4 linked regions of the Drosophila melanogaster genome follow. The gene in region 4 interacts genetically with the main gene of each other region. Each region holds a gene or a part of one and is shown on either strand. Other genes may lie near its edges. The genes, in order: mei-41, spn-A, tefu and MAGE.

Region 1 (5,496 bases), on a different chromosome or scaffold from region 4:
ATAATTTTTTGATATACATCGGTCGCCTTACTTGATGCAATTATACAGCGTTTGCAACTCGGCGATTAGCTCGGTGGATCCCTGGTCCACATTACAAATGGTGTGTGCCTTTTCGATAGCCTGAATGGTGCTCTTTAGCTCCTCCTTGTTTAGCATGCGCTCAGTCATTGGTCGCTTTTTGGCCGGCTGGTCGATGACCGCGGACGCGTAGGCTAGCAGAAACATATACTTCGGTTTGTGCTCGGGATTGATTTTAACGCCGGAACGAAAGAGCGCGTCTACCAGTAGCTCCAGAAACTGGGGGTTTCGTATCAAGTCGATGGGCGGTGGATCGGAACCGGAGTAGTTGCGAAACAGCACGGTGATATCGGCGGGATTCAGTGTATTGCGGGTGAGCATGGAAGTTAGGGCTTGACATGCTTGCGGATAGACTGCCGAACCATTCAGGGCCATTGTAATAGGCGTTACATTTTGATTGCTAAACAATGAAGCAAAAGAAAGGATTTATGTTATGACTAACTATGTGGAATCGTCAGTTATTTTCATACTTCTGCAGGGCGTATTTAATAATTTCCTGAGAGAGCCGCTTCATGTTGAACCCACCCTTCTGCTCCTGGCTGAGGACCTGGATGAGCACCTGGGAGTATACGTAAGTGTGCTGGCCATGGCAGACCATTCGTGCGCACTCCTGAATGGCACCGTGCACATCATCCGGATTGTTTAGAAATTTGACGATCGAGGTCTTTAGAACCCGCGAGAAAACCTCAATCTGCTGTGCCGCTGTCGAAATGGAAGTGATCTCGCTCTGGAAGCCCGCGTCCGAGATCAACTTGATTGTAAAGTTCAGCATTAGACAATCGGGATATTCTTCGGCCAGTCGGTAGATTAGCGAGCGCCACGTATAGTGGTCGATCATCTCGGTTAGCCAGTCGGGCGTCTCACCCTCCTCCGTGAATATGGTGTCCGCCTTCTTGGGATCGAAGGACTTAAGAATCATTTCCTTGAGATGATTCTCCACCATGGCCTGGACTTCGGTAACCTTGACGCCCGCCAGGATGAGCCATTCCGCAAGCAGGTTGGCCATCTGGGCCACCGCCTTGTAGTTCTCGGATAGCATCGATATAACCTCCTCCGGAGATCCGCCCGACTGAAAGTAGCGCTTCAGCTGCGTAAATATCCCCGGCTCCATGATGTAGTCCGGTGTGAGGAACTTCTCCAGGCATTCCTGTATCGTCTTCTGCGGATTGTCCTCAAGCGTTTCCTTCGATTGGGATGGGATAACATGATGTTTAGTTGTTATTTTTTATGGTTTATCTAGTAGCGTCATCAAATTGCCGGGATTGCCTGCCACGCCGTACACGCTCTATACTCAATTACCTCCGGATTGGTTTGTCCTTTGGCGCGGCCCTGCCAACCAGAGTCGTCGTATTCCACTTCCATTTTTTCTCAAAAACTTATTTACAATAACATAAAAATATTTTTCTTATTTTGATTAACTATGCATTTTTAGTGTGACTGTAAATTGTTAACCACGACGCGCACACCTACGCGGGTTATGCGCCGTTTACACTTAGCAAACTCTTCTGTTAATTTCATATTATGCAATGTAAATCTTAAATTTGAGGAGAAAAAGAAAATTGTCAATAAGTGTAAAACGCGGTAATGTAAACATATATTAACTAATTTTTTTTTAAATTAATATATGTAAAATCGCAGTTGGAACGTGGCTGTTATTCAAGAAAAAGAAGAAGAAGCTGCCAAACATATCGATAGCCACAAGTGCGGCGAATGCCGGCTTTCGTAAACAAAGGTCGCGTTTTTGCGAGTTTTAAATAAACTTGGCAAAATGTCGACACAACGGAAGGATATGTGGAAGTTGCTTTACAACCACGTAAACCGGAACGTAAGCAACTTTTCCGGCGTGTACAGCGTTATAGAAGACATATTGTGCCAGGAGCCGAGTCTGATAAGCTGTTCGTTGGTGCGGGAGCTGCACAACAAATTCCAGGACACATTCCTACTCTGGCTGCTCAACAAGCTGGCCAAGTGCCTTAGTGAATCTCCAGATAGCAGGTAAGATGAGCCACAAGCATTGGACTCCAAACTTATGACACACCGTTTTTCTGCTGCAGCGAGTGCATCAATCTTCAAAGGAAAATACTGAGCTCCTGCTGTTCCAATCATCCTAAGCTTTTTGAACGCCTTGTACTGGCCTATGTGGAAGCCATTGAGGAGACGCACCTTCAGCTAAGTTCCCTGGACCTCGGCCAATTGAGTAATGAGCGAAAACCCGCCATAACTGTAAGAATATTCCGATGCGATGTGGAATGCCTGCAGGAGTTCGATCCGCACTGCGCTATCGAGGACATCAAGGTGCCCCTTGAGCAAGCCGACATGTATGCCAAGAGCCTGCTGGAGGTCCTCCAGCATGCCCATCACATTGGATACGCCACGCACGGCGACATCTTCTCGGGCAGCCTTCATCAGGCTCTGCTAATCCTCAAGGAGTGCGACATGGACACAAAACTGGCCAGCTTGAATTACTGTCACAATGTCCTACGATCACAGTCGGCCAGCAGCTGGATAACAAATCCGGACGTTGGACATTATGCGCAATTAACGTTGGAGGCGACGGCAATCATGTGGTCGGCAGTAGCCAAGTGGCTGGACATGGGATGTATGACGCGCCAGGAGCTAAAACGGCTCAATATAACAACAAAGCTACTGCTAGAAGTTCTGCATATGCGTGCACGTCCAGCCCACCATCTTGGCTACCTGCTTTTGAACGAGATCCTTAGTTTGCCGACAGCCATTGAATTGGACGATGGACTGCTGGAGACCCTAAGTTCCTATATTCAAGGCCAGCTAGAGCATTCGGTTGTACCATTGGAGCAACTGGTGCACTTGCAGCAGCTTATGTTAAGCCATTGGCACTGCCACCCCACACATTTGGTGCCCATATTGGCGCTAATGGGCTTGAAACAGACTGAGATGCGCTCAGGAGTGGTCCAAGTGCTTACCCAAAGTCTCGTTGAAATCTTGAAGAAGGAAGAAGTATTGTCGAAGGATTGGCAGAAACTGATTGCTATTTTACGAGGCTTCAAGCAGCTGGAGAAACTAATTCTGTCACAGAGTCAGCATAAAATAGCTGAGCACGAAGGTCACATCGATTCCTCAGTTCTGGCCATGTTACCGCTGCAGTGTGAAATCATAAAGGTTGCGGATACCAATTGGAATAACCTTTCAATGCAGCTGGTTGAGCTGGAATCAAAGTGTTCCGCAGACCGAAGACACATACACTTGGAAATCTGCTCCCTTTTGATGCAAATCACCTTCATCCGGCACTTTTTAAAGACTCAAACGCAACACCAGCTGCTGGCCATTCTTCAGCGACATTTGAAGCTGTCCTACCTTTGCGCCATTCGCTTGGAGACACCTTCTAGTGTTCATACCCAAATGCAAAGCTTCTATGCCCAGCAGTACATGAGGCTATTTCAATCCGAGGAGACACAGGAGATATTCTGTAGCAACCTTCCGCAGTTGTACATATCGGGTTTCATAAAGCCGGAGCAACTGATGAAAGCTCTGCCCACCATTAACAATCGTAGTGGCCGCGCTCAAGTTATACGCCTATTGCTCTGCTCCCAGCCAGGTAAATTGAGTGTCTTTAAAGTCAAAGATCGCATTGAGCTATACTGCCCGAAATGCAGGCCACTGCCAAAGAAACTGCCAGGTATTTACCTCGGAAAATGCAAGCAACAGCTGCCATGTCCAGACTTTTCAAGCACCAACCTCGAAATGATAGCAAATGATTTATTGTTTTATCCCGATTTTGAATGTATTGCCCAGCATCTGGACCTTCTGTGCTTTGAACCCAATGTGATTCTTGGCCTGCTAAGAGAAACGGAGGCACTGCAAAAGGTTAGCGTTAAGGTTATCGGCCAGCTGGTCTCTGCGATGCGTGTGCGTTCGCCAGAATTCTTGGAGCAATTAGCCAATCTTGTTCTAGCTGCTATAAAAGCAATGCTAGCAAAGCCACTGACAGAGCAAAATGTGCTGCAGCAAAGAAGTATGCTCAACGTACTGACCGCCATTGCGCACATGGAGGATAATGAAATCTGGCTCTTTCACTGGTTCAAAATGACATTCTTCTTTCTGGTGCACACTCGCTCACTGGTGGCGCAAGAAGCTGTGCTGGCGGCCACCGAGATGTGTGCCAGCCAGGGTCTGCAGACGATTCATCTGTGGAACTGGTACAAGCGAGATGCTCTCGACCTCACCGTTCGCCTGGCTTTGAACGTTTATCTTTTGGATGGCGTACGCTTCACCCGATCCCTCCGAGCGGTGCGTAAATAGACGAACTTTTCTTCACTTCCCAAAATTTGACCGGTCTGTTTGCAGCTTACGAAAATGTTGGGATTCACGTGCGTTCAGGAGTTCACCTGCAAGTATCATCGCCTTCTGACTGCCATGGTCCTGCCGCATTGCATCGTGAATCCGCTTTGCAAGGGAGTTTTGGTATTGATAGCCAAACAAATGCAGAAACACATTGGCACCTTGTTCTCCATCTCGTTCCTGCGGATCTACACACACGTCTTCCTGACCGAGGAACCGGAGTTGGCCAATAGTTGCATCGAGCTGGTGGTCAGTTGCACCCAGTCCAGCCTGCAACAGCTAATGAATGCGGATGTCAAGGTGGGCAGAAGTTAATTTATATTTTATTATTTTATCTTTTATTTTATTTTATTTGATTTGGTTATCACTTGTAGCAAACGGTGGCCGAGTTGCTTATATATTTCAACCGAAACCCCACATTCGTGATGCGATCCTTTCAAAGCCTCTTGCAGTTATCAATCGGTTCCTTGGAGGAGTTGTCAAGTCAAACGGCGAATGCAGAGTTTGCGAATTTCATTGCTGAGCGTTTCCTCGGTGTGATCACCTACTTCGAGAGCTGCCTAAGTGAACCGTCTTTTGAGAAGCCATTGAAGGAGGAGACTTTGTACAGTTTGGGCCAGATTATGCGATTTGTGGGCTCCCAGCATGTCACCCAGTTTCGCTTCAAAATCATTGCCATGCTGAGTTTCGTTCACACATTGCAGGAGCCTCGTCTCCAGCGAATTTGCCTAAAGATTTGGCACATATTTCTGCATGTTGTAAATGTGCAGGAGCTGGGACCCTCTCTGGGAAGAATCGTGGCCACCTTGCAGCCTCTGCTGGCGGACAACGAGAGCGTTAAGCAGGTCAATGATCTGTACGAGTTCATAATTCTACGCAACGCCTCCATGCTGGGCACCTTTATAACAGATCTGTACTTTCTAGATCGCATGGAGAATGTTTCGCCTTCGATTCAAAAATGCATCAGAAGGCATACAGCCCATCTGGACCTTAAGGGATTGGCGGAGGAGGAGAATCAATCGCCACCATTGGTCGACCAGTTGCGTTTCCTGCAAAAGCACATAACCGATGAATGTCTCCAGGTACGCGTCTATGCCCTCC
Region 2 (4,365 bases), about 23 Mb from region 4:
AGAAATACACAACATATGGAAATAACGGCCTATTGGCTACAGTGAATACAAGATACATTTACATTTTTTTATTTGTGTATTTCGCTATTTGTAAAAAAAGCGAGAATTTAATTGAGAAAACGAGTATCTTTTATTTCTGAAATAAGCACTATGCTGTTTCAACAATATCTCTGTTAATTCCAGACTATCTGGCTGATAAATGTTTCCCAGTCACGATCGATAGTGTGGGGATGGATTGAAGTTAATGACAAGTTTTATTTATTTTGTACGAAGTCACACCTAGCTCTTATCTTATGTACTCCCACCTAAGCCTTGGGCACCACTGAACTGCTATTGGGGGACACCAGCTCATCGCCGCCTCCGTTGTTGCCCACATCCGCCAGCGGATCCGCGTTCTGGCCACCAACTGAACCGGCATCCGTGTCCAAGGCCTCGCTCAAGCCATCATCGTCGTCGTCATCACCGCCAGATTTGTTGTACACGGTGGGGTACTTCTGGAAACAGTCGCGCATCTTGGTGAAGGCATCGTAGCAGTCCGATCCCTTGGGATCGGCGGTGCTGTTCTGGAAGCAGGAAAATGCCTCACGGAAATCGACGCCACAGGGACCGGTGGCCATGCCGCCGAGGCAGGGACAACTCCAGTTGATCTTGCCGTCCTTGGTGATCACGCCCTCCGGCTTTTCCGGCGGCGGCAGCTCGATGGTGCTGGGCGTGGCATGGTCCTCCTTGGTCACAAAAATCACCTTGTCCTTGCCGTACTCCTTGCAGTAAGAGAATGACATCCTGATGCGGTAATGCTAGTTAAATGCTACAAACTCCTCGGGGGATTCCTCAAAATCCAAGGGCTTTCGGGATGTGCTGAGCACCTGAAAATGGCAGGGCACCTCCTGGTAGTATCCTATTAGGGCTATAGCTACGCGAACGCGATCCAGGACGTTCTCGGGCACCCGGAGAATGGAGCGTTTTTGGCTGGAACTAAATTTCACAATTTCCAGTATGGTCTGGCCACCTATTTCGCCAAAAATACTAGCCAAGGAGCTATGGATGCAGCCACAGAAGAATACGGGCGTCAGAGTCACGGAGTCTGGATCACGGAGTTTTCTGGCGATTAAAAACGTGAATTATCTTAATTATATTTGCATGATGCACGTGCGCACGTGGGAAATACGGGGCTTTAAGGAGCGGGGCTGAGTGCCCGGAACTCACATCTTCACGTCCAGATATTGGTAACCACTCATGCTTTGGGTGCAAGTGCCAGTGCCCCTCTTTTTTTGGCGGAATCTTCGGGAAAAGTCGTCCAAAAGTTGCCGGTCAGTGTGTTTTTTTTATGTAATTACTCCCCTTTTTTGCTGTTTCTTTCTGCTTCTCAAACAGCTGTGCGCCGCCAGAGATGCCAGCTCGGCTCACAACGGACATGAGTAGTTATAAAATAGCTAAAATTATAGCCATTTATTAAAACATTTAAATTGTTATTGGAACTACTTAAATGCAATTTTATTAAAATGGTTACAAGTTTATGGGGTTTTTCCGCTTTTTAATCTCATTTAGTAGCCATCACAGAAATCATTTCAGTTCGTTGTGAATGACAAAAAAATCAGATCACAGTAAAATCAGTTAGGATTCAAATTCAAATTCTTCATGACGGTTATAATGTATATTACACTGAGTATTACAATTCGCTAGTCCTAATCATCGGACACAACCGCGACAGTCTTTTCAATGCTCTTCTCAAAGTCCAGCGATGATTTGGATGTTTCCAAGATCTCAAAATGACAGGGTATCTGCTGGTAGTGACCGATGAGCTCAATGGATATGCGGGTCATGTCGTGCAGTTGCTCTGGCACTCGAAAGATAACACGATGTTGCTGGGCGCAGAACTTCACGATCTCCAGTGTGGGTTTCTCCTCGCAGAAGAAACTGTCCAGGGCGTCAAGAACGCAGCTTCGAAACAGAGATGGGGTCAAAGCAACTGCAGTCGGATCCCGAAGTTTACTATTAAATAAATGAATATATTTACTGAATTTAATAACAACCAAGTTTATATTAATGACCGCAGAACATCATTCTACTCACAGTTTGATGTCGAAATAGTAATAGTTCGCCATGGTGATCTTGCGCGTTCCTTTTAAGCGGGATCCTCTGTAGTGATAGAGTTTTGTGCGTTCGGGGCGATTGGCAAACTGATTTTGCAGTGAATTGCGCGCCGCGCAGTCTTTGTCGAAATTCTCTCACGCAAGACGTGCAATTTAAATAACGAAACTCGAAACAACAAATAGTCAAATTTAACTTCGAAACTGTCAAATGGAGAAGCTAACGAATGTTCAGGCACAGCAGGAAGAGGAGGAGGAAGAAGGTCCACTCAGCGTGACTAAGTTAATAGTGAGTAGGCTGCGATCTCGACCAGGATTATTATGGGCATTCCCTACGATATCCTCCTCCTAGGGCGGCAGCATCACGGCCAAGGACATCAAGCTGCTCCAGCAGGCCAGTCTGCACACCGTGGAGTCGGTGGCCAATGCCACCAAGAAGCAACTGATGGCCATTCCCGGCTTGGGCGGCGGCAAGGTGGAGCAGATCATCACGGAGGCTAACAAACTGGTGCCTCTGGGCTTCCTTAGTGCTCGCACCTTCTATCAAATGCGTGCCGATGTCGTGCAGCTGAGCACGGGCTCCAAGGAGCTGGATAAACTGCTGGGCGGCGGCATTGAGACGGGATCCATTACCGAGATCTTTGGCGAGTTCCGCTGCGGAAAGACCCAATTGTGCCACACTCTGGCAGTAACCTGCCAGCTGCCCATCAGCCAGAAGGGCGGCGAGGGCAAGTGCATGTACATCGACACGGAGAACACCTTCCGTCCGGAGCGTTTGGCTGCCATCGCGCAAAGGTACAAACTGAATGAATCCGAGGTGCTGGACAATGTGGCCTTCACCCGTGCCCACAACTCAGATCAGCAGACCAAGCTCATCCAGATGGCGGCGGGCATGCTCTTTGAGTCCAGATACGCTTTGCTGATTGTGGACAGTGCCATGGCGCTCTACAGATCCGATTATATTGGTCGCGGGGAGCTGGCCGCCAGGCAAAACCATTTGGGCTTATTTCTGCGCATGCTTCAACGCCTGGCCGATGAGTTCGGAGTGGCTGTGGTAATTACTAACCAGGTTACTGCCTCGCTGGACGGCGCACCCGGCATGTTTGATGCCAAGAAGCCCATTGGCGGGCACATCATGGCCCACTCCTCAACCACGCGGCTGTATCTGCGCAAGGGTAAAGGCGAAACCCGCATCTGCAAGATCTACGACTCGCCCTGTTTGCCGGAATCGGAGGCCATGTTCGCCATTCTGCCGGATGGAATAGGAGACGCCAGGGAGAGCTAATTGTGCTCACTTATAGGTTAATTAATGCTAGGAATAGAGCTCCCTAACTTTCTAATGATTACTTATCCCTAGACTAAGAATTAAACTTCGTAGATTGTTTTTTTTTTTGTTTTAATGTTTACTTAGAATGTTTAGGATAACGACGAAATAAAACAGCCGTTGCGAATTGTATGTACCATCTATATTTAATTCAATATTATTCAAATCATCTACAAACTTAGAAAATATTTAGGGGTTTCGAAGCAAAAACCTTTTTTTTAGTCTGGTAATAAGCGGATGCAGCAGGAAAAGCCCCATCAGCGCAGCGTAACACGACATGCACCTGGCAGGCAAACAGAATTAAGGAATTTAGCTGAATTTTTAACCTAGAATTAAGCATAGCCCACTTGGCTCATCAAAACTTTGTCATCCAAAGCACGGTCTTTAAGTTGCCTGGTTTGTAACGCTTACGAGTAACTGCAAGAAAGAGGATTCTTGAAGATGTGTTTCAACTCAGCGGTTTGCGGTTTCCCATCCTACCTTATCATGTAATTGGTCCAGCAGAACTGGTCCTCGATCATTTACTGTGGAGCCGATCCGGCTGAAGCGGCGGCCTCCTTGGCCAAAACCAGGCTATTATATCCGCGCTCGTTCATCCCGACGCGAAGGTTTTCGTTGATATTTTTCGTATAGGTCTTGTAGATTTTTACCTTTTCGCAGAAGTCGATCCAAAAGTTGTCCTCGCTCTCGGGCTCCGGATTGAAGAGACTCTTGAAGCCATCGTATATGCCAGAGGAGACCTTGCGTATGGTCTGCGCCCTCTCCTTGAACTCCACCTCGTCGGACAGGTCCATTTTCCAGAGCTCCAGATTGCCCACATACCGGCGAAGTCGGCGCATTATGTCCACGCACTCCGGATTGCGCAGCAGCATCAACTTGGTGAACTCCACCTCCTTGAACTGCTCGAGGATCTCCAGGCATTTGCCCACATTGGCGCGCCGCAGGCCCAAA
Region 3 (5,511 bases), 8.1 Mb from region 4:
CTGGATCGATGAGAATTATAAATGGCGACCGAGCAGCTGCCACCTTTTTCTGCAAAGTGCGCAAAAAAGAGAAGAAACCGCATGGACAAAGGCGAAAATTCTGGAATGCTAAAAACGCAAACACACGCGCCCTCACAAGCACACACACACATGCATATACTTAAATATATGTAAACCACGCTGCTGAAGCCAGGTCATTTTGGAGGGTGATTCGTATGTGCGAGCGAGGGAGACAACCACTGTGTCCGGGACGGCTTTGCGTGTGTTGGTTTTACCCGCTCACAAACACACGTGCCCGCACTTTGAATGCCGGTTGGCAACGTGTTTTTTTTTAGCTAAGTATATTTAATAAAAGGCCGCATAATGTATAAATTTATGAATGTTAGTTCTATTTATAAACAATGTTTATATGCCTTGACTGTATGTAAGGGAATCCAACATGTTTCTATAGCAGTATAGCATTAAAATTAAATGATCAGACATGCACGCATTTTTGTGTGGTTGTGTGGGGGGGGGGGAAGCCTCACATTTTTCCCAAGCTGGAATATTCCAGCAAAAGAGCAATGGCACTCAAAATAAATTACCAATTACGATGAGTAACTTGGACATTGATTTATTGGAAACAGAAACAATAAAAATCACAAGCAATGTCAAGACCCCGCAACGGATGACGCAAGTTTTCTCTCACACATACTCACTCAACCGAAAGTAGACTGTGACTGCAGTGAGTGGGAAGCGGCACGTTTTCCAGTGGAATATTCCAGATAATCACAATCAAGCATTAGGCATCAATATGCAATTAGTCAGAACTTCCAAAGTTTCTAGAATCTTAATTTGCCTAATTAATAGGCGCTCTATGATGCACCTTTGCAATTATGTATGTAAGTGTGCATCGAAGCGTTACTCACTGGGGTCGAAAGTTCGAGAAACCTTGCCTTCTTTGAGAGTATTGATTAAATAGTAAAGGGGCTACAAAAAACACGTGGTTTGATTTCAAATTATTTTCCGGCAAACTTAATCGAGGTGGTCGCACTTTTTTTAACAACGAAATAAATACTAAAATGTAAATAAACGCTTACCTTGTGTGTTGTTTCTTAGAAAGTACTAAAATATAACCGTTTAATTGCTACTTCACTTTTAATCTGCCGCACCTTCGATCAAACTGGCTGGCGTTTTTTTCTGAATTACACCCGTACAAAATTTGCGAATGCCTTTTATATACAAGCAAAAGTGTTACCAAAGCCATCAACAATTTTAGTACTAAATTCCCAGGGGTGTAACCGCAAAATTCTTGGCCACCCTAATAAGCGCTTCACACAGAAGTCCAGAAATGTTGACGCAGAACGTTCACACCGAAACTGTAAAGTCGTAGAAATTGGCTAATATGTAGTAGAAGCGCTGAACGTAGCTTGTTACTTTAAAAACCACATTTCCTATTCCTTTCTTAATGAATATAATTCATAATATAGGAATAATTAATGAAGGAACAGTGGAATATGGAACATGGGATTTTTTTATTTATAAATCTTTCGTTATATAAGGTTATTCTAGTTCTCCATCGGCACTTATTTGACGCACACGGCTGCCCAGCCATTTAACAACAGTGCTGTTCTTATTGATCGTGGTATTTTTTGGCGCTCTGGCAGAGGTCACTCTAAGTACATTTTGAGAGATCATTTTATGTTTAGTTTAATAATTAATACAACATTACAACAGGTTATGCCGGGCAGCCAGGATGAGTGCACTTCTAAACGAAATCCAGCGGATACTCGGGGACCTTCAGTCGGGGAAGGCAGCCAGCCGAAACAAGGGCATCCAACAGCTGGATGAAAAGCTCTCAAGTTGCCGAGAGGATCTGGATAAGTTGTTTCTTAGCAAAACTTCGGATATATCCTGGACCACAATCTTTGAAGCGTCGAAGGAGGCTCTCTTTAAGGTTCCTAGCCATTATCGTTAAACAATCAGTTCCATTTTAATTGTTAACCTAATGATAGCAAGCTGGAAATCTGGAGGATGTCAACGAGAAAGTATTCAAAACGCTGGCGGGAAAAAACTACTTGTACGATAATGTCCTCGAGAAGATCACACAATTCAACTTGGAAGGTAACTCCTAAACACTTAAACACGTTATTAAAGCTAACCTGTGATTTCCAGCGGGGTCGCAGACCTCCGGAAATGGGCATTTCCTGGCCAAAACAAGCATATTTAGTGCATTCGAGGATGGCATCAAGATGCGAGTGGTAGTCAAGTATTTTGGCGACCGCATTCTGAGCCTGCTGGAAAAGGGCATTTACTCATCGGTCAGCTATGTGCGCGACCTTAAAATTAACGAATACAGTAGTAAGTTACTTTCTGGCCCAAAAGAGACTCTTTTTTTTAATTTGATGATGTATTACAGGGATTCTCTCCTATCTTTTTGAACTGAATGTCGATATGGACGAGGTCTTGCGAACCAGAATACTGAAATGCATCACAAGAACCGTCAGTTTGGCCAAGGACCGGGTTCAGCTGCACGTGGATCTAGTGGAATATCTGCCGGAGCTCAGCAGCTTTGCGCTCTCCGCTTTTGGAGCCAGAAAAACTGAGATTGTTCGCGTCTACTTAATATTTGCATCAGAGGTAGGACTCTTATTATATCTTTAGATAATGTTAAAAACTTTGCAACAATCTTTCAGCTTGCTGTCAACTACAATCACCAATTGAACGTGCACATGCAGGAGATTCTACCTAAACTATGCGAGTATCATGACGAGGATGCGTTCCGGGACGACACCAGAAATCTGTTCTTTCAGTGCGTTTCAAAGTCGCTCCATTCAATGTATCTCAAAATGGATATGTGTGACTTTAATACACTCGGTGTGCCTGTTCATGAAAAGTGGCCGCAAACTTTACTGCGGCTGAAAACTATTGTCAATGTGGAGATCCGAAAGAATTCCTGGGCTCGCTGCAAGAACGCACTACTGAGCAATAATAAATTTTCTGACCCCTTCATCAAGATGTCTGCCCTGGCTATGTATATAGTACGTCGCATAAGCTAGTAATATTTAATATATTTAATTTTAATTATATTATTATTTGCAGGTGCTTTGGCACTTGGAGACGAAAAAGGCTGATGAAAATGGGGAAGGCGATGCGCCGAAAAAGATCCCGAAGCCTGCAGATAAAATGGAAACTATATTTAGTCTGATCGACAAAAAGGAAAACACCTTTAACGACGTCTGGCTTGCGATATTCACTGAGATACTTCAGCTGAGTAGCGTGATCCTAAATGTGGCCAACTACCAAATGGCGCTAACCACCGTGGCGGAAATAATGCAAATGTACGGCAATGCGAAAAATCTCCGGAACCTTCGGTTATGCCTGGCTCATCTTTTGACTAAAGAACAGGAGCTTTTGCACTCTAAATCTATTCGGGAGGATTTTCTGGGTGAGCTTTGGAGTCAAATGGCAAACCAGCTCATATCAGAGACAACAACAAACAGTGAGGAGATCAAGGAGAAGCAATTGGTGCTGCAGATGCTGATCAGACACAATAAACTAAATCAAAAGTTGTCCAGCACGCTGCTTAACAATATTATCTCGAATGAAATGCTAAAGCGCAACGAATGCTTAGCGACGATTCGAGAGATCTTCATCCATGCTGATAAATGTGGTCAAGATAAGGCGTCCGCTGACTTAGAACCCATCATAGCTTGGGCATACGGAAGTGCGGATAGATTCATCGCCGCTCAGATGATACACAATATAGACAGTATTGATGCCCAGTTGCAGGCGGATACTTTTGCAATCAGCATTATAAATTTTTTGGATGTCCAGCAATTGCGACAGATCTCTCAATCAGAACACATTGTTCCTTCCACCGAACGCAATCTTTTGGCCTACAAGTACAACGAACAGCTTATTTGCTTTGACAAGGACTACGCCACTCCTTTTGAGTCAATCACTCACATTCAGAGCGAAACAAAGAATTGTTTGATTCAATCCAATTATGATTGCCTAATGCGAGGCCTTAACTTTGAGATCGCGAAGGAGAACAAACCGGCGGCAATAATAAAAAACCTGAATAGTCTATTAAAGTTGATCTGCACAATGGAAAGGCTTTTGCATTACAAGGTTTTCGATGCAGATACCTATACTGGCTGTCCACTTATAAAAAGAATTGGACTATATCTCAGCCACATTGAGGTGGGTGCCAAATGAATAATCTTTCAAAAACTCGTTTTCTAATACCCATTTCAGTTCCAGCTCAAGGCGAACGGAGCTGAGATTTTAGATAAGAGCGATTTACCAGAGATTTTACGTCTGGAAATCTATGTACTTGATGTATTCAGGACGAATTTAGTCTTACTCGATTATTTGGAAAGGCAACCCATTGAAATGTTGGTGGAATTTGTTGGCGCTGCTCTCAAGTTGCATTGTAATGTAGTTTTCAATTAACGTATCGCTTTAATAATTGAAGAGTGGAATATTTTAGCCATGCAGAGGGAGCGATCTGTAGATGCAGATCATGGAACAATAACGCGTCTGTGCCTTAATATTTTGGCTGGTCTTTGTGCGTACAATTCGCACCGGGATGAAGCATTCGAGCACATAGTAAAGGTAACGATGCGTTGGCATCCACAGGATGTGCTTATTGTGACCAAGGTAGGAGTTATATCGTAACCAAAACAGAAATAATTTTGAAATCTCTTTAAGATGTTATGCAGCTGCCAAACGATTTCTGAAGCATCCAGCTCTTGGTTAGTGAGCAAATTGAAGACGCTTTTCCAGCAGCATCATCAGGATGCGGAATTGATGGACAAAGTGGTTCAACATATGCCCAGTGAGCTTATATATAATAGAACAATAAACACAGTGCAATCAATTCATTTCATTGCAGCCATTTTTTACTTCGTAAGGCACAAAGAAAATCATTTGGACGACATGCTTATGGCCCTTAATTCCCTTTTAAGGATTGCCATTAAGAAGTCGTACACATCGAATTTAACAGCGAAAATTGTACGCTGCGTGGGATTGATTGCTCAGCGTTGTCCGGACATTTACCTTCTAGAGAACTTTGCTGTGATATGCAAGTCCACTGCGAAATTCATCACCATGCCCACGTTAGAAGTGCGCTTTGCCACACTCTTCACATTCACCATCCTGCTGGAATCGAATTGCGTCACTAGCGATGCCATTGGTCATTCTCGGACGCACTGGGACTTCTGCCAGGAGCTGTACGAGAGCATTGAGTTTAAGAAACTGACGGTAAGCATTCGGAAGTCTGGATGCCTAGCTATACTTTAATGGCTATTTCTTATTTAGTACAACAACGAGGATGCCATTCAAAACAGCAATGCGTTAATCGTACAAATGTTAATTGCAATATTCTTGCGCAGCTCATTCCACCAAGAGATAGCACTGAAGGAGCTGCTGCATCATTGTGCCTTGCGAAGGCTAACTGAAAGTGAGTAAGCACCGTAGTAGCAGTTTCAGTTACAAGATCCATGATCCAATTCCAGGGGAGTTTAT
Region 4 (4,073 bases):
TCGTTCTGAGAGAGGAGCAAATCATAATCTAATCGAAGTGCCGGTCCCGGGCCAAAGCTGATCAGCCAGATCGACCACGAGCGGCAGCTGCTGGACAAGAATGCCGAACCGCTCCGCTGAAGGCAGTCCACTTTTAAGAACGGCACGCAACCAGACTGAGGCAACAACAGCCGGCTATTGTTTCTATATTCTCGATTCCATTCCATTGCGACCGAAACGGGGTTATCTGCTCACTGAAAGAGGTTGTAAGAACAAACTTATATACTTGTATAGGGAAATAAAACATTCGATTTGCTGAAGAATAAATTAAAATATTTTTAGCCAGAGAAGCTGGGAACATGAAAAGAAGGAATCTTTAAAAAACTACAAGATAAGAGATTTATGTTTGCGAAACTATGCCATTTATCAGCGTTTTTCTTATCAAAACGAAAGACTAATTTGAATGTTTGCAACACATTTTTTTAAAATACAACTTTAAGAATATCAAAAGATGTATTTATATTAGCGTAATTTCCATTTAATGGTGCCTTCCATTTTTCTGAATTTTAAATGTAATATTATTTATTCATTTTTCACTTTTTATTTTCATTCATATTATTTTCGCAATAAAAAACTTTTAGCTCCTTAAGATATTCGAAATGATAAATCTCAAAGAGCAAGCCACTTAAAAACAATTAATCCCGATCATATAGAGCATTAAACTCCACACATTCCTCATTCCAATATTGGCTTTCTTTTTTGTGCACACATTTTTTGTCTGCTGCCTCTTGTGATTCTGTTATTAATTTATTAATAGTTTTTGCCACCGCGGTGAGCTGCGAAACCCGTTGTCGTTACTCTATTGGCTGGTCATGGGATTTTGTTTATCATGAAAATTCTAAATGGCATGCTCATGTCATTTGCTAATTTTTAATGGCCTTTAAAAGCCAGGCTGCATAGCAAGTTTGCCGCTCACGTCGCTCAGCAAAGACCTTGACTTTCTTTTTAGTAAATGAGACATTTCTCCAACACCGTCTGGCTACAATTAGCCGGCCATAAAAAAACTTTAGGGCTGGAGTTGACAAACTCCAACGTTACAATGCGCATTTTGAAAGCAAAACTGTTTGCTTGTGTGTAGAAAGTCTAACGCTTCGCGTTGACAGTGCGTTTTGTTGACTCACTCAGCCGCCGTTTTGCGAGATTTACAATCTTGAGTAATTTCACTTGCTGGGATGCAAATTTCGGTGCTATTACAGTCACTGGTCAAGCAGAATCAATTGCAGAACGCGGCGGATATCCATTTCAGGCGGCCACAAAGGCTGTCTTTAACAATCTGAACTCCGATATTCTGCTTTTGTTCAAGCCGGAACAATGGCGAATCAATTAAAGCTTGCCGCCTGGCCAGGCAACTTTTGTCTGCCTTCCGCCTGTACATTTATCACTTATGGATCGCGCACTTTGCGCAGACGCAGGTAACTAGTTTTCACCGCAGAGATACAGCCACCGCCATCGCCACCTAAAACACACATTTCAAGGCAATAAAATATGTTTGGCCATGTAATTCTGCAGCGTCTGGAAGTGCACTTCGGCGCGTGTGTCTGCTGCGCGAAATGCATTTCCATTTCCATTTCGTTTTGTTTGACTCGGTCTCTGTTTATTTTGAGTCTCCGTGGGGAATGTTGACCGTGCATGTCATTCGCGTTTAGTTTTGAAAGTTGTTTGCTTCCTGCTGCTGCACGTCGCGTCGTTTTGGCCATTTTAATTAAAAACACATCACCTCCTGAGGCTGCTATGGCAATTTTTATGCAAAGTGCGTTACCCACTGCTTAGCTGCTCGATAAATGCTCGAATGATATTTATTTAGCAAACGTTTCGCTGCAGCGCAAATTTCATACTGATTGTTAAATGTAACAGAGGAAAAAGGCGGCAGCAAAAGGAAATCAATCAATACAAACCCACAAGAGTAGGTACTTCAGCGGCTCTTGGCCCAGTTTGTGCGTTCAAACGAGACCAATGAGTGGCCATTTGCACTTGAAAGTGCATATAATAGGCAACCAAGTGAAAAAGGATGCGAGAGAAAAGGATTGGTAAAGACCATAATAAGGGTTCGAAGATTTTATTGTCAGAGTAATGATTTTGAATTAATATAATTTGCGCGCCCATTTGGTATTTTAATACTGAAAACAGGTCTCGTTTTTTAACTCTGATCTGGCAACGCCAGGCTTGTACACTTTCAAAAGTGCGAAAAAAAACATATGTTCGCTGCATTCTTGTTGAGTTGCATTTTAAATAATCAAATAAATTTGATAAATTGGGAGCTTGTTAATCAAATTAACTCGAAATGGCTAGCACTTCTCGCGCAGCTAGGAGCCAGAATGCCATCCCCTCGCAGGAAGCGCAACAACCCGTCGATGTGGTCGACGCCAAGGTTCGCGCCATTCTAAACTACATCCTTGATCATACCGCCCAGAAGATTCCCATAAAGGACAAGGATTTGATAGCGGTGGCTGGGGACAAGAGCGAACTGAAGAAACGCCTGCCGCTGGTCACTAATCTGCTGGCCGAAACATTCGGTATAATACTAACCCCACTGGACGCGACCACCAAGACGTTCATCTGCACTGCGGAGGAGCCGGTGGCCTCCATTCACGAGCTGACGCCGGCTCAACGGCCGCAGTTCACGCTGCTGTATATTATTCTCATGTACATCTTCCTGCGCGGCAACCGCATCGAGGACTCGAAACTGTACGTTATGCTGGAGATGCTCAACATCTATCCAGACGAAGAACATGGCTACTTCGGCCCCAATCTGCGCAAACAGATCGAGGAGACGTTTGTGAAGCAACAATATCTGAAGCGGGAACGCTCACAGCTAAGTGCTTACGATGATTCCAAGACTTTCTTCCTTTGGGGACCACGTGCCAAGGCGGAGTTCACATTCGAGCAAATGGTGCAATTCGCCTCCAAGCTGCTCAATCAGCATCCCAAGGTCTTCGGCCATCACCTCTCCATGGCCCAAGAAGGAGTAAACGCGGAGTAGAATACCATTCTATGAATAATTTACTACATTTGATCTAACAAATTGAAAACCAAACAATATATATAATAATCTAAAATAGAGCCAATTTCCCATTTATCAGCAAGAAAAGAATATTACGATGATCTTTTAAAAATAGCACGTCTTTTCTATTTATCTAAAACTTAAGTTAATTTACTTAACAACGGAAGCAGAGACCCGACTCTAATACTTGGCATAGTCTGTGTCCATTATGAGCTTGCCATCCTTGTCCTTCAAACGAACGCGGCCGTTGGAGTAGCGCGTCTCTTGGCTGCCATCCGGATACACTAGCTTCACAGTGCCGTCCGGATACTCCCTTCGCTTGTTTAGTTTGGTGTGAATCTCCTTTTGGCCATTGGGCAGATTGAGAATCTTGTCACCATTCCGGAGCTGCACTAGATGGGTTCCATCCGCATAACGCCACTCCTCCAGTTTCTCCGTATCGCTGGGATCCACAATCTTAATGCTGTTGTTGGGAAAGTGAATCTCAACAGTGCCATCCTTGCGGCGATGTTCCGTCTGCCCGTTGGGAAACTCGAGTATTTCCAAGCCATCTAGGTAGGAGGTGTGCCAAGTGTTGGTCTCAGCGTAGTAATACTTCACTGTGCCTTCCCTGATGTTAGTTTCCTTGATATCCTTGTTGAAATAGAGCATGCGCAAGTTCATGCCATCGGCGCTTATCTTTTTTAGATTGCCGTTTGGGTACCAAATGTCCTTGCTCCCATCCGCATTCGTAATCTCCCGCTTAAAGTCACTGCTGGAGTTGGCAGCCGGTGGGGGGGTAGCAGCTTTCGGAGCGGTCACGGGCGGCTGAACTTCCTCCGATTCCACAGAACTACTAGAGGCGTAGCTCTCATCCAGAGCGTATGGTGTTTTCTTATTCCTGCTCAGTGAGCGACTCCGACTTCTCACTTGGGCACTGCCGCTACTCTGACGACGGTTTTGCGCCTCTCGCTGCTTGGCAGGCTTACCAGCAGTGCCGTCCAGAGATTGGGTGCGCCGACCGTTCTCATCGAGGATATCGGACATTGTCGCG

What was found.
Region 1: of MAGE (region 4) and mei-41, changing one enhances a phenotype caused by changing the other (phenotypic enhancement), as found in Drosophila melanogaster (one study listed by BioGRID).
Region 2: of MAGE (region 4) and spn-A, changing one suppresses a phenotype caused by changing the other (phenotypic suppression), as found in Drosophila melanogaster (one study listed by BioGRID).
Region 3: of MAGE (region 4) and tefu, changing one enhances a phenotype caused by changing the other (phenotypic enhancement), as found in Drosophila melanogaster (one study listed by BioGRID).

The regions. Positions count from the first base shown.
Region 1 is NC_004354.4:16,389,915-16,395,410, forward strand, and holds the start of mei-41 (meiotic 41), read left to right. Parts: upstream 1-1,783; 5' UTR 1,784-1,846; coding exon 1,847-2,073; intron 2,074-2,132; coding exon 2,133-4,344; intron 4,345-4,401; coding exon 4,402-4,695; intron 4,696-4,769; coding exon 4,770-5,496. Other genes in the region: TH1, read right to left, coding at 32-478, 549-1,261, 1,378-1,440. UniProt on the Drosophila melanogaster protein: Serine/threonine protein kinase which activates checkpoint signaling upon genotoxic stresses such as ionizing radiation (IR), ultraviolet light (UV), or DNA replication stalling, thereby acting as a DNA damage sensor.
Region 2 is NT_033777.3:30,053,876-30,058,240, reverse strand, and holds spn-A (spindle A), read left to right. Parts: upstream 1-2,203; 5' UTR 2,204-2,301; coding exon 2,302-2,379; exon of another isoform or gene 2,380-2,442; coding exon 2,443-3,375; 3' UTR 3,376-3,545; downstream 3,546-4,365. Other genes in the region: CG7950 (uncharacterized protein), read right to left, coding at 306-782; Rpp14a (ribonuclease P/MRP subunit p14 a), read right to left, coding at 798-1,101, 1,207-1,238; Rpp14b (ribonuclease P/MRP subunit p14 b), read right to left, coding at 1,686-1,992, 2,074-2,105; Jasper (JIL-1 anchoring and stabilizing protein), read right to left, coding at 3,936-4,365. UniProt on the Drosophila melanogaster protein: Plays an important role in homologous strand exchange, a key step in DNA repair through homologous recombination (HR). Binds to single and double-stranded DNA and exhibits DNA-dependent ATPase activity. Underwinds duplex DNA.
Region 3 is NT_033777.3:15,238,368-15,243,878, reverse strand, and holds the start of tefu (telomere fusion), read left to right. Parts: upstream 1-1,642; 5' UTR 1,643-1,658; intron 1,659-1,716; 5' UTR 1,717-1,735; coding exon 1,736-1,936; intron 1,937-1,994; coding exon 1,995-2,103; intron 2,104-2,154; coding exon 2,155-2,340; intron 2,341-2,398; coding exon 2,399-2,619; intron 2,620-2,675; coding exon 2,676-3,020; intron 3,021-3,081; coding exon 3,082-4,185; intron 4,186-4,239; coding exon 4,240-4,417; intron 4,418-4,474; coding exon 4,475-4,644; intron 4,645-4,695; coding exon 4,696-4,822; intron 4,823-4,879; coding exon 4,880-5,247; intron 5,248-5,304; coding exon 5,305-5,446; intron 5,447-5,501; coding exon 5,502-5,511. UniProt on the Drosophila melanogaster protein: Serine/threonine-protein kinase which recognizes the substrate consensus sequence [ST]-Q. Required to suppress spontaneous apoptosis of proliferating cells during development, and for their proper differentiation. Required for female fertility.
Region 4 is NT_033777.3:7,153,312-7,157,384, reverse strand, and holds MAGE (MAGE), read left to right. Parts: upstream 1-2,204; 5' UTR 2,205-2,320; coding exon 2,321-3,019; 3' UTR 3,020-3,147; downstream 3,148-4,073. Other genes in the region: Sas-4 (spindle assembly abnormal 4), read right to left, coding at 3,221-4,073.